Linked DNA regions of Lytechinus pictus. The protein of the gene in region 1 interacts with the protein of each later gene in a pairwise test. Links are inferred from orthologs where the notes say so. Each region holds a gene or a part of one and is shown on either strand. Other genes may lie near its edges.

Evidence for each region.
Region 2: the proteins of splicing factor U2AF 50 kDa subunit-like (region 1) and splicing factor U2AF 35 kDa subunit-like interact in binary tests that used the Drosophila melanogaster proteins (3 or more experiments, as listed by UniProt). The link is inferred for Lytechinus pictus from reciprocal best matches to the Drosophila melanogaster genes U2af50 and U2af38.

What each region holds. Positions count from the first base shown.
Region 1 is NC_087254.1:7,870,337-7,876,918, reverse strand, and holds the start of splicing factor U2AF 50 kDa subunit-like, read left to right. Parts: upstream 1-2,275; 5' UTR 2,276-2,333; coding exon 2,334-2,412; intron 2,413-6,582. UniProt on the Drosophila melanogaster protein: Necessary for the splicing of pre-mRNA. Binds to the polypyrimidine tract of introns early during spliceosome assembly.
Region 2 is NC_087252.1:7,858,802-7,865,383, forward strand, and holds the start of splicing factor U2AF 35 kDa subunit-like, read left to right. Parts: upstream 1-3,014; 5' UTR 3,015-3,271; coding exon 3,272-3,315; intron 3,316-6,582. UniProt on the Drosophila melanogaster protein: Necessary for the splicing of pre-mRNA. Binds to the polypyrimidine tract of introns early during spliceosome assembly.

The DNA.
Region 1 (6,582 bases):
AAATAGAATGTCCCGTTTTCAGGTCTAAACCTCAAAAGAACTCCCGCTTCGATTATCAACAATCTTTTGTTGGATATAAATCCTGTCTTTATTAAAAAGTCCATTAAACTGTCAATTTTTTCAGATCGAAATATCAAAATTTTCAGCTCGCGCTTCGCCATCGCATCTATTGTTCTTTTAGATGCCCATCTTAATCATTGTTACCAAAAATGCTTAAATTTCAAGCTTTCAGGTCAGAATATAAAGAAATATCAGCTCGCTCTCGGCCGGCTCGCATTATCTGTGTAGTGAGATAAAAGTATCCTCCTCATGAGTTACTACAAACAGTCCTAACAGGTACCTTTTTCCTGTTTTCAGGTCAGTATACTAAAAGATTTTCAGCTCGCGCTTCGCGCTCGCATTATAATTTGTTGGTGGGATATGTGTCTCTTTCTCATGAGTCACATATATATATATATATTTATATATAGGCCTATGTGTGTGTGTGTGTGTCAGTGTTCGTGTGGGTGAGTTGTGTGATCGAGCTCCTTTGGAAAGTTCATGATTTTGCCCCCCAATCTGAAAAATGGATCGACGCCCCTGTTTCCTCATTCTGACCAGCATATGTCAAATGTTTTTATAAAATTAAGCGAAACTTTAAAATGTCATGCTGACTTTTTTATTTTTACATTGGATTTTGATGAAATTTTCAGTGTAGTGCATGCTTGTATGATTTTTATCTTTCTATCTAACCCAATTTTTTGATGGGCTGGACTGGACTTGTCCTTTAAAGGACAAGTCCACCCCAACAAAAAGTTGATTTGAATAAAAAGAAAAAAATCCAACAAGCATAACACTGAAAATTTTATCAAAATCGGATGTGAAATAAAAAAGTTATATTTTTAAGTTCAAGTTGGTCTTTAGTGTCAAATCTGTAAAAAATGAAATATTGTATAATTCAAACAATAAAACACGAAAGAAATAGTCAGTGATGGACATCATCGACCGACTCATTTGCATGTCACTAGGTTATGCATATCACTATTTGGGAAAAATAAGCAAAACTTTAAAATGCCATAACTTATTTTACATCCGATTTTGATGAAATTTTCAGCGTTATGCTATAGATTGATCTTTCTTTATTCAAATCAATAGGCTTAGTTTGATTAATTTATAGGCCTACACCGGCATCACTTTTGTAGAGAATGAGTGCTCAGTTACCGAAGGCCGGCTTGAGATCGAGCTTTATCTGAATTGTTGTTTTCTATAGTCTAATAAAATTCAAATAGTGTTCTAGTTCTATTTCATAGTTTCTGAGCAATTTTTATTAAACAAAAGTATACGTACGTGAAGCACTGCGTTGTCTTAATGTTCTTCTTCTCAATTATTTTAATTCTTCTAATTGAATTTTGCATGCGGTCACGTACGGCAGGTCGAGTCCCGTTCCGATTGTATATACAGGCCTAGTATAGATAACCTTTTCTTTCAATTAGTATAGATAACTCATATTAGTGAACACACATATTCTTACAATTTTTAAAGTAATTCTCAGACACTGCATGCATGCATGGATTATATCCACGGACTCCAAAATATAGTTAACATAATTGGCAGGCTCATCCATCACTCGATTTCTCAATAATTTCTATATGGAATTAGATAATTTTTTCTTGATCAGATATGTTTTCTGCCGAATATCAGAGAAGAATAATTGCTTTCAAAGTGGCAAGATAATATAATTAAAGTTTATATTATTTTACTCAGGATCATTTAGGGCTACGCCTATAGTATGATTCGGCAAATATAAGTGACAAGTTCTGTCGCATGGGTGATGTCATTTTGATTCAGAAAAGCAAGCATTTGAGTTTAAAATGGCAAGTTAAGCTTTAATCAGAATAATAGGCTTTCTTAGAAGAGGATAAAACCTCCACGAATTTAGTGTACACGATAATTGCTAGTTGCCTTATATATATTTATTGGCACATTAAAACAGGTGCCTAATCGAGATTCCATTGATCTAATATTAAAAGTAAACAGTCATATTTTCTTCCCCATTTATTTCAAACTTTCACCATTCTATAGTTTCGCCTTCTTTATTTAAAGTTACCATTTAATGATGTATTCAACGCCAACCAAAAGATCAATAAAACGCGACAAATCAAACAAGCATTATAAAACTTCATACGGCTTCGGGGGATAAATATTGTTCATCATCTGGCGTGGTGAATATAATTAGCGCCAATATATTTTAGCACGGGCCTGTAGTAGTGCGGCAATTTCTACACACTCGTACTCGGATCGGAAGTGTAGCACATACAGACATTGAGCGTGTTACACCCGGTCCTGAATGTTGCATGCTGAAAACAACCGCTGAAAACTGGTCTAAAACTCGGGGAAAACACTCAATCATGGACGAAGATGATAGAAAACCAGGTAGGCATTAGTAAGAGTGATGTAAAAAGCATGGAATCTTTTCATTTTAATTTCCAAATACGATAGACGAAATACAAACATGACGGCCATGGCCATGCCAGCCAGTCAGTTTGCGTCGCGTTCATCATGTGTCATTGTGCAGTTGTGTGTGTGTGCTTTGTGGTGCGCTAGTTAGTGCTTGTGTGGGTTGGGGGTGTGTGTGTGTGTAAAGAACCCCTGTGTAAATAGGGCCCTGAGTTCTGGCTTCCAGTTCCACAGCCAGGCACAACTCCTTGTAAAGTTTTTTTGCCAAAAGAACATGATAAAATGGGGCATTATCGTGAAATTGGGAACCAGTTCCTAATTTCCAAAGGACACTTTTTCACGACAAGACATGACCTACCTACCTTTTCGAGCTTGTTCACTGTTTCATTGCAGCTGGCGCGCTGATCACTGAACTAAAAAAACGTGGAATGCGTGTCCCTATTCCCAACGTACACAAAGCCATGCGGCAACGAAGAGCATCGGGCTTCACGCTCGACTGAGCGCGCCGCCATTTTGCTAGGTCAATACTGGCTGGTCGACAAATGCTGCGTGTATATAGGCAGATGGGAGAAAGGAACGCAAAGAAAGTGTTCCTTGTGCTGTTTAAAGTTTTAGTTTGCTTTGTTACATCATGAACTATATGTTATTGAATACTTTCATAACTGAAAATGTTGATTTAGTCACATTTTTTTATTAAAGGGGAGTAAACATACAGACATGAAATCATAAAAAACTCGACCTTTTTCACGCGCACGCTGTGACAAGGAAAGGCCCCACAACAAATATGCTTTCTGAGTAGGCCTATACTAGCTGGTTGCATCAAAAAAATCTTTTAACGATTAGAAATCATGTCCCTTTCTCTAGCTTTTTTTTTAAACCTCCCTTCTCATTCAACTATTAATCTCATCTCATTTTCTCTGATTTTCCTCTTTTTTCCATCTCTCTTATCCTCTCCATCCCCTTCTATTTCTTCCATTTCTACTTTCATGCCCCTCTCTCTCTTATTTCTCCCCTTTATATCATCTCGATCTCCCTCTTTATTATTTTCCTTTCTCTTTGGCTTCTTTCTCTCTGATTCTCCTCTTCTTTCTCATCTCTCTCTTTTACATTCCCACTCTCTCTTCCCCTAATTATATTTTTCTTTTATTTCCCCCATCTCCCTTATATCGAGCCCTCTTTTATCTCCCTCTCGTCTCGCCTTTCTCTCCTCACCTCTTTCTCATTCCTCGATTTCCCCCTCTCTCTCCCTCTCTCTCCCTCTCTCTCTCTCTCTTTCTCTTTGATCTTCCTCTTCTTTCCATCTCTTCTCGTTGATCGTCTGTTTCTTTTTCTCTCTCTCCATCTTTACCATTTTTCCTTTCTCATTTCAACTTTCTCTATATAAATTTTGAGTAAATATTCCCACAAACACACCAAATATCATTATCATTTCTGTTAGATGATTGGATTGCTTTTGTTTGCTTGAAGTTTGAACTTTTTCCTCTTTCCTTTTTATCCTTCATCCTTCTATCCTTGCTTTTTTTTGTTCCATCTACATCTTTTAATATTTCATACCTTTCTTTCCTGATTCTTTCTGTGTTTTAATTTTCTTTCTTTCCTTCTTTCTCCGTATCTGCCATTTTTATTTCCGTCATTCTTTTTTTCCTTATACTTTTATTTACTCCCTTCCTCACCTTTTTCTTTTCGTTTTTCTCTCCTTCCATTATTTTTTTCATTCTATCCTATCTCCAATCTTTCCTCCCTCTCTTTCATTCTTTCTTTCATTCTCTATTTTATTTTTCCTTCTTCTTCTTTCCCCTTATTCTTTCTTTCTTTCTTTCTTTCCCTCCCTCCCTCCCTTCCTTCATTTCCCCTTCCCGTTTTCTTCTTTCTTTGTTTCCTCCTCCTTAATTTTTCTTACTTTTCTTACCTTTATTTTGTCTTTCACACATCTTCCCTTTCTTTCTATATTGGGCGAATTCAAAGAATGACGGAAACCCTTTTTTCTCTTTTATTCTTTCTTTCATCGTCCTTTTGATTATTCTAACTTTCTTTCATTTTCCCCTTCATTTGTTCTTTCTTCTTTATCATTTCTTTTCTTTCGTCTTTTCTTTCTCTCCTTCATTCTTTCGTTCTCCCTCCCTTCCAATTATTTTTATTTTTTTCACAAGTATAACATCGTGTAGCCTTCTTTGATGATCTTTTTTTATCGATTGTCCCGTATTTCATTTTGTGAAATCTGGTCACCCTGATTTAGACCCTTTTTTTAACTACATGAATTACCAGGTCCCGGTACATTGTGCATATAGAAATATGTTTGTACATGATTGGCTTAATGACATTAAAATACACTTTGCCACACTATTAATTTTATATTTATAGAGAAAACATATTGCATCTTGCACATAATATTATTTTCAATTGCCTTCTACGGAACGTTCTCGAACAATTGACCTAGCAAAATGGCGGCGGTCACGTGACTTATCGATTTCGCCGGCGCTGTTTTGCTTGAGTGAACACGACTTCCACGTATTTTTAGTTCAGTGGCGCTGATTCTAGATAAAGTAATCCTTCAAAGAGCTTAGATCAGAAAGATTGATTTCGTCGCAGTCTTTTCTCTACTCGCTAAAATGGGAACCAGCGTGGAAAACTCCCCATAGAGTTGTACACACTGGTTCCCATTTTAGCGAGTAGAGTAAACTAGTTTACTCTACTCGCTGAAATGGGAACCAGCGTGTACAACTTTATTGAGAATTTTCCATATGATAGAGTTGTACGCGCTGGTTCCCATTTCAGCGAGTAGATAAAGACAGATTACTAGTGATATTTATTTTGTTAGTGATGATTCTCTGACGAAATAAAGCTGATTAATAAACTGTCTTTATCTACTCGTGAAAATGGGAACCATTATTTATAATTCAGGAGAATTTTCTTAGATGGTTCCCATTTTGAAGAGTAGATATAGAGAGAGAGAATGCCAATGAGATTTATTTCGTCAGTGATGATTCTGACGAAATAAATCTAAATCTAACAAATTGTCTTTATCTACTCGTGAAAATGGGAACCAACATGTATAATTCATGAGAATTTTCTTAGATGGTTCCCATTTTGGCGATTAGATTTAATAAACTACTTTACTCTACTCGCCAAAATGGGAACCAGTGCGTACAACTCTATGGAAAACTCCCCATAGAGTTGTACACATGGTTCCCATTTTAGCGAGTAGAGTAAACTAGTTTACTCTACTCGCTGAAATGGGAACCAGCGCGTACAACTCTATGGAAAACTCCACATAGAGTTGTACACGCAGGTTCCCATTTCAGCGAGTAGAGTAAACTAGTTTAATCTACTCGCCAAAATAGGAACCAGCGTGGAAAATTCTCAATAGAGTTGTACACGCTGGTTCCCATTTCAGCGAGTAGATAAAGACAGATTACTAGTTATATTTATTTCGTTAGTGATGATTCTTTGACGAAATAAATCTGATTAATAAACTGTCTTTATCTACTCGTGAAAATGGGAACCAGCATTTATAATTCAGGAGAATTTTCTTAGATGGTTCCCATTTTGAAGAGTAGATATAGAGAGAGATTGCCAATGAGATTTATTTTGTCAGTGATGACTCTGACAAAATAAATTTCACTAGTAAACTGTCTTTATCTACTCGTGAAAATGGGAACCAGCTATGCTGGTTCCCATTTTCACGAGTAGATAATACAGTTTACTAAAGTGATTCATCCCCAGATATATCTTGTTTGTGATTTATTTAGTGAATCGATTTTGTAATATAAGTTTTTGTCAACATTGTGAAAGTGGCAGAGTGGTCTTGAAGAGCAGGGAAATGCGGGGTAGATGGATAATTAAAAAAATTATAATTCCGCGGAATCGTCGATGTCATCTGAAAACTTGTCCACCCGTGGCAAACTGAGCCCGTTAAACATCGCATGAGGAAAGAGGTTACCAGTTGTGTGAAGAGCTTCGCATCGTAAACAAAGCCTCTCGCATCAATTCTTTTCAAAATCGCCAAAGCGAAGATTCTTTACATATCGTGGTGAAAGGAGGTACAAGTTCAATTTGGCTACCAGTTCCCAAAAGCACGGAATGGCCTAAAATGGTATCCACAAAGAAAAATGACTTGAAATTTTACCAAGATTTTGTTACATGTGC
Region 2 (6,582 bases), on another chromosome or scaffold:
TACATGAATTAAAAAATAAAAATAAAATACATAAGAAATCGGTCTTGGTACCAGATTTTTTTTCATTTACAATTGTTAGGAATGCTATAAAGAATATTTTCACCCAAAAAATAGCATTCTAGGAGCTTTATTTAGTGAATCAGAGCAAAAAGTATGATTTCATGAATAAATTAGCATAAATAATTAATTCATATAAAATAAAAAAATATGAATTCAGTGAAATTTACCAATGCAACTACGTAGATTACGTCATTCTCTACCATCATGCAAATTTTCGTTGTGATCGTGCAATCCACGGCAGAGATCTTATAGGGGGGGGGGCAATAATACCCCCCCCCCCCCCCCGGGAATGACAAGAATCAAAATACCCCGGTAGATTTAGGATTTAAAAAATTGTCAGTACGGTATATCATCGAGAATCTACATTACATGTAGATCTGGTACAGTTACATAAACTGAACTTTGTGAAATCTTGAAATCTACACTGAAAAATGTTCAAACTGAAGATCACCAACACAGATAAGAAGAGCACGTGGGACAGTTATTATTGCTCTGATTAATGTCGGCCCGACGCTTGCCTTGGCTCGAGTTGACCCGAATCCTGTGCTTTTTTTGCTTATTTCGCAGCAATTACACAATTTCTTCCAGAATCCTTTGGCACATACGGTATATTATTTATAAATATAGACAGACACTTTGGTGGTCATTTCATTGGATTCTGTACGAACTCATTTTGATATCGTTACCACAACTGGCATTTACCTTAAGTTAAAGTGTGCACTGTGTCTGTGCAGACTTGGGCCCTGAGCCCACCAGCGCAGTCTGTCCTATTCAGCATGCCGGCGCTCGGGGCAGCCACCCCGGCCGGGCAGTGTCAGTGCACGAAATCTAAAGCCAAAGGCAAGCCGCGCTCCGAAAAGAAAATATTAGAAGATGGTTATCTAACTTACTGTTTGGTCTCCTGCGAATGCCTTCGAGTCGTTATCCAAATCTGAACCGTGTTCTTAAAGTAGTAGAACTATTATTAACGGCCATCTTCGTCGCACTTAATTCTCGATCCAAAATTAGGCTGCAACATTTAACGGCGAAAAACGGGCGCATTCCTTTTTCAAATTAAATGGTTGCGACTACAGCGCCAGTTGCATATGTTGCATGCAGTGCAGCGCGCATGCGCAGGCTCGACGCCCGACGGCGAATTAATTCTGCGGATCATGAATTATTTATAGGGGGTGTGCCCGGGGGGCGTGCATGGGGGGGGGGGGTGAGCTAACTAGATAGGGGGTTTGCATGACACCGGGGCATGACACCACTTGCCAAAAAAAAAGTTTTAAAATAGATACAAACTTCTTTGACATATAAAGCTTCCTCTTAATTGTTTGGTTTGGTTGGCAACCAGTTAAGAAATGATTATTTTTGCCACTGCTTTTGAAATTTTTTTTCTTTGAAGAATTATATACTTAACCTAAAATAAAAAAAAATCTGTACTATTTTCTTTTAGTTTTACTTTTCCTTTTATAAGTAGAAATAGCCTTGCTAACATGGCAAGGTTGAAAAAATGGCAAAATAGTATGTGGCTTTGAAATTAAACTTGTAAATTTCCTCGTCGTTGATTGGTAAAATTTGATGTCATAATCACGTCGTAATGTGGTCATATGAAAACGCAAATTTCTTTGTCGTTGTTTGGTAAATAAATGATGTCATAATCACGTCATAATGTGGTCATATAAAAATGCAAATTCATTTGTTGCAGATTGGTCGATAAATGACGTCGTAATCACGTAATAATCTGGTCATATAAGAAAGCAAATTTACTTGTCGTAAATTGGTCAGTAAATGACGTCGTAATCACGTCATAATCTGGTCATATAAGCGAGCAAATTTACTTGTCTTAAATTGGTCAGTAATTAAATGACGTCGAAATCACGTCATAATCTGGTCAAATAAAAATGCAAATGAAAGTTGCCATTCTAAGTCGTCAAAATGACGTCGTAAGAACGTCATAAATACGACGACATGACGAGTATTACCACTTTACGATCAGTTAATGACGTCATTACGACCGTGTCTGCTATCAGGGATGATGTAAGTGAATTCATTGGATTAGATAAATTTGACTGTAGAGGATATCGAATTAGTGACGTATTCAGAGTATAAGGAGATTGAAAAATGGAAATTATACAATGGGTAAATAATTAGAATAAAGTTTTATATACAGAGAGTTTTATATACCTATTTCGTTTACTGAAACATTATAGATAGTCGCTGATTATTCGAATTCAGTAACAATAAAAAAATCACATTTCAACGCATACGCGTTGGAAAGAGAAGAGTAAAGGTAGAAAGAACGGGGACCTATAATGGTTATATTGTATTTTTTTCCTCTCAAAATGAAATTGGTTCATGGGTAGCGTGAATGACCAAACAATTTTGAATGGCCTGATAATGGCACTTGTATAGTTATGAAAAGCGAAAGCCTAGCCTCATAAAAAAATGCAATTTTAAATGTAAAAATATTATTTTGTGATAGATTTTGATAATTTCACCTACTATAGTCTCGTTCGTTTGGGCCCTTCGGGTCGTGAACATTTTAGGGGTCCTTGCAGGCCCTTCACTTTTTTTTTTTTTTTTAACAATACTTAAAGTTAAAAGATAGATTGAAACTTCAACGTACGGTTTCGATGCAGATAAAACTTATAGGGCGAGCCCTTTTTCACATAAGTAAGACCCTCAAAGAATAACAACATGCAGTGAAAGGGGGGAAATGGAGAGAAAAAAAGAAAAAGAAGACGGGAAGAAAAAAAAGATGAAGATCGAAGAAAAAAAAGATGAAGATCGAAGAAATTAGGGGGTCGAAAAGGAAATAAAAGTACAGAAAGGGATAGGGAAACGAGGTGAGACAACAAACAATGGAGAAGAATAAGTAGTCAAAAATTAATAAAAAGAAAAGCAGTGAGAAAAAGAAGAAAATATCAGCAGTTTAGCGCCAAAATAAATTTTACCTTCCAGCTAGAGACAACATATATGATTGGAATACATCTCTTCCCTTACGTTTGGCATGTCATATCTAAAGTCGTGAGATTTCTTTCATCTGATTATGTTTTTTAAATGGCAAAATATTAAATTCATAATACTTCAGTGAAAGAAAAAAAACTAATATTATATGACTTATAAATATTTTTTCATTTTTTTTACAATTTTTTTTATTGATACACTTTTTTAAAAGTATTTTATCACAGTGATAGATCGAGGTTGACATTGCTCGCTTGCCAAAATGGCTGAATATCTTGCATCCATTTTTGGCACCGAAAAGGACAAGTAAGTATCAAGTTTAACCGCTTTCTTGGGTTCTAATGGTTTAAGTGAGTGGTTGATATGTGAAGAGTGGTTTTTGTCATTATTTATATGTTTTTTTTTCAAAAGATTCAGTGTGACCTGAGCAATCTTGGTGAATAATTTCACGCAAAGCCAAAGGCAAAGCCAAAGCAAAGCCGTCATTTTTTTTTTTGCGTCAATCGACGACGCGGGGCCGCGCACGGTGCCTCGTGTGTGAGCCGAAGGCCAGCGCCAGGCCAGCTTCATGCAGCTGTAGTATGCCGCAGAACAACATAGACCATGGCATTGCGGTGCTAGTGCTAATGCAGTTTCGCACCGGCCGATTACCAGCCTACCTTATCTTTATCACCAATACTTGACTGTGACTGCTTGATCATGATCATGTTGATCCCAAATGTCAATTGTCATGACAAGTCTCTCTCTCTCTCTTAGGCTTAGCTGATCCCTCCACTATTTGGAGATTCCTAGGGTCCAAGGTAAACAGATATGTTCCATATACGCTGTCATTCTGGTTTAGGAGGTTTGAACCATGTCAGTACGGAATACATCAATTTTGTGGAGGAAAAAGAGAGATAATAGGAGTAAACTATTGTGTAGTTCCTTGGGCAAACAAGAGTGAAATGGTATAAGGGTGGCCTGAGTAAAGTCCTGTGGGTTGGCATTGACATATAGATCGACACATGTTGGGAAGTCCACAAGGCAGTCCTTGACTTTGCCAATAAACACTTGACGGAGATGGTCTAGCTTGGGACACTGCCCAGTAAAATGTTCCACAGTCTCGTCGGTAGATTTGCATAGAGGGCAAGTGCGGCTGGTTGATTTCTTCAGCGTGAAGAGACGACACTGTGTTAAGTAGGTGGCTGTAAGGAGTTGAGCTCTCACCACAAATGCTCTTCGTAAGACAGGAGAGAGTACACTTTTCGGGTACAGGAGTTTGGCAGAAGGAGGTATACAGTCTTGCCAGTACTTAAGAGATGGCTTGGAAAGGATTCCTTGACATGTGTTGTGTTTGGTCAGCAGGTTCACTTTGTAATTGACCAATCTCTTCCAAGATGAGTATACAGGAGGATTCGATAGAAGGCTGTGAAGATCAGGAAGATCATACTTCTTTGTTATCTCCTGCAGGAGCCGTATTGTTGGAGCGCCTAAGTTGAGGGCTTCTAAGAATGTTCTAAACTCAAAGCGTGTGTGATCGAGGTTGACGAGTTGGCCTAGAAGCAGCAGTTTCCTGAGATCTATCTGTGATGAGACTGGAAGGAGGTCAGTGAGGATACTGGTCTCTCACACTCACTTCTCAGTCACAATTCGAGGTCAATTTACCCACCTCTTTTCCAAATATCGCGATCGGGAACTGCTGAGTGCTGTATTTCATTTTCAGCTTTGATGATTGATCTCAATGTCATTGTTCGAATCCTCAGACATCACTTCGCGGATCGCTTGGATTGGCCGTGCGCCGTAATGTTGATATGGACTGAAGTTAGCAACCAAATTATGCGAACATGTGGCGAACAAACTGCCAGCATGCTGCAAGCGAATCTTTTGATCGCATAACTTCAGTCCATGGATATCAACATTACGGCGCACGGCGAATCTAAGCAATCCGTGAAGTGATGTCTGAGGATTCGAACAACGACCTCGAGATCAAAGCTGAAATACAGCCGTTCCCGATCGCGATATTTGGAAAAGAGGTGGGTATATTGACCTCGAAATGTGACTGAGAGACTTGTCATGACATTTGGGAACAAGTATTGGTGATGAGGTATGCTGGTTATCGGCCGGTGCGAAACTGCATTAGCGCCGGCATTGCCATTGTCTGATTGTACTAGTATACCTCGCTCGAGCGATGTTCGTGCAGGTTCCACTTCACTACCGCTACACTACGCTCCACCTACCCGAACATCGAGACGGTGAACCAGTTCGGATATACCGAGTCACAAAGGACGGTCGGATGGAAATCATGTTTATCGTAAGAATTAAAGAAAAGAAATATAATGAGAAAGATGAATAACTTAATATCTTACTCTACACCCGTATTTCACTCCGCTTCCATCCGGTTATCCTCAAAATTGGTGATTTTGGGCCAGTATCTTTTTCCTCACACGTATTATTCACGACCGATTAAAAAAAATCGCATGCAATCGCGATCGGTCGCAGGTCAAACCGATCGCGATCGATCGCATGCGATGTTTTGAAATCGGCTATGAATAATACGTGTGAGGAAAAAGATACTGGCCCAAAATCACCAATTTTGAGGATAACTGGAGGATGGAAGCAGAGTGAAATATGGGTGTAGAGTAAGGTATTAAGTTATTCATCTTTCTCGTTATATTTTTTTTCTTTAATTTTTACGATAAACATGATTTCCATCCCACCTTTGTGACTCGGTATATCCGAACTGGTTCACCGTCTCGATGTTCGGGTAGGTGGAGCGTAGTGTAGCGGTAGTGAAGTGGAGTGGAGCCTGCACGAACATCGCTCGAGGTAATTGTAGTAGAGCTGAAGGCCTGGGCAAGCATTGCAGTGAATCTGTGTGATGTTTGTGTGTGTGTGACTGTGTACACTGTACGTAAGTGCTGTGCGAGCATGGCTAGCGCGATAAATCATAAAATATGACGATCAACAGACGTCAGACAACGACAAATGGTAGATCTTGCGCTTTTTTTAATTTCAAAATTCCAGTCCAGAAAGGAAAGCCAATGTTACTGTTAGTACACAGTCCCAATCACCAATGTCCAACTCCAGAAACCATAAGAAAATCAAACTTTTGCTGTATTAAATTTAAAAAATGCTGATATGCACCATTTAAAAAAATTTTCCAGTGAGTCAATGGGCTCTGGGCCGCCGTGGTTTGCTCACCTCAGCCTCGCGATCGCTTCGGCCTATCAAAACCAAAGGAAACGCTGCATGGTTTCTGGCTGAGCGACAGCAGGTCAGCCGAAAAAATTCTTGAAAGTTGTGTTTACTATACTACTGGCTTTATGTGTACTAAAACCAACATGGTGGCGTAACCTTCGGCAAATTTTCCCCCGTGACAGCAATAGAATGACAAGATTTTAGAAGTGTCCTTATTCTCAGGTACATGCATGAGATGATGAAGAAAGAACTGTTGTGTATTGTACAGGAGCAGTTGTGAATCAAGAATTGGGAGGGCAGTACATGATTTTTCAATGTTTTATTTTGTCCAGCGATCATTTCACCCTTTTTATTACCCCCCAAAAAATGTTGGATGGTCTCTTTATGATATGGAAT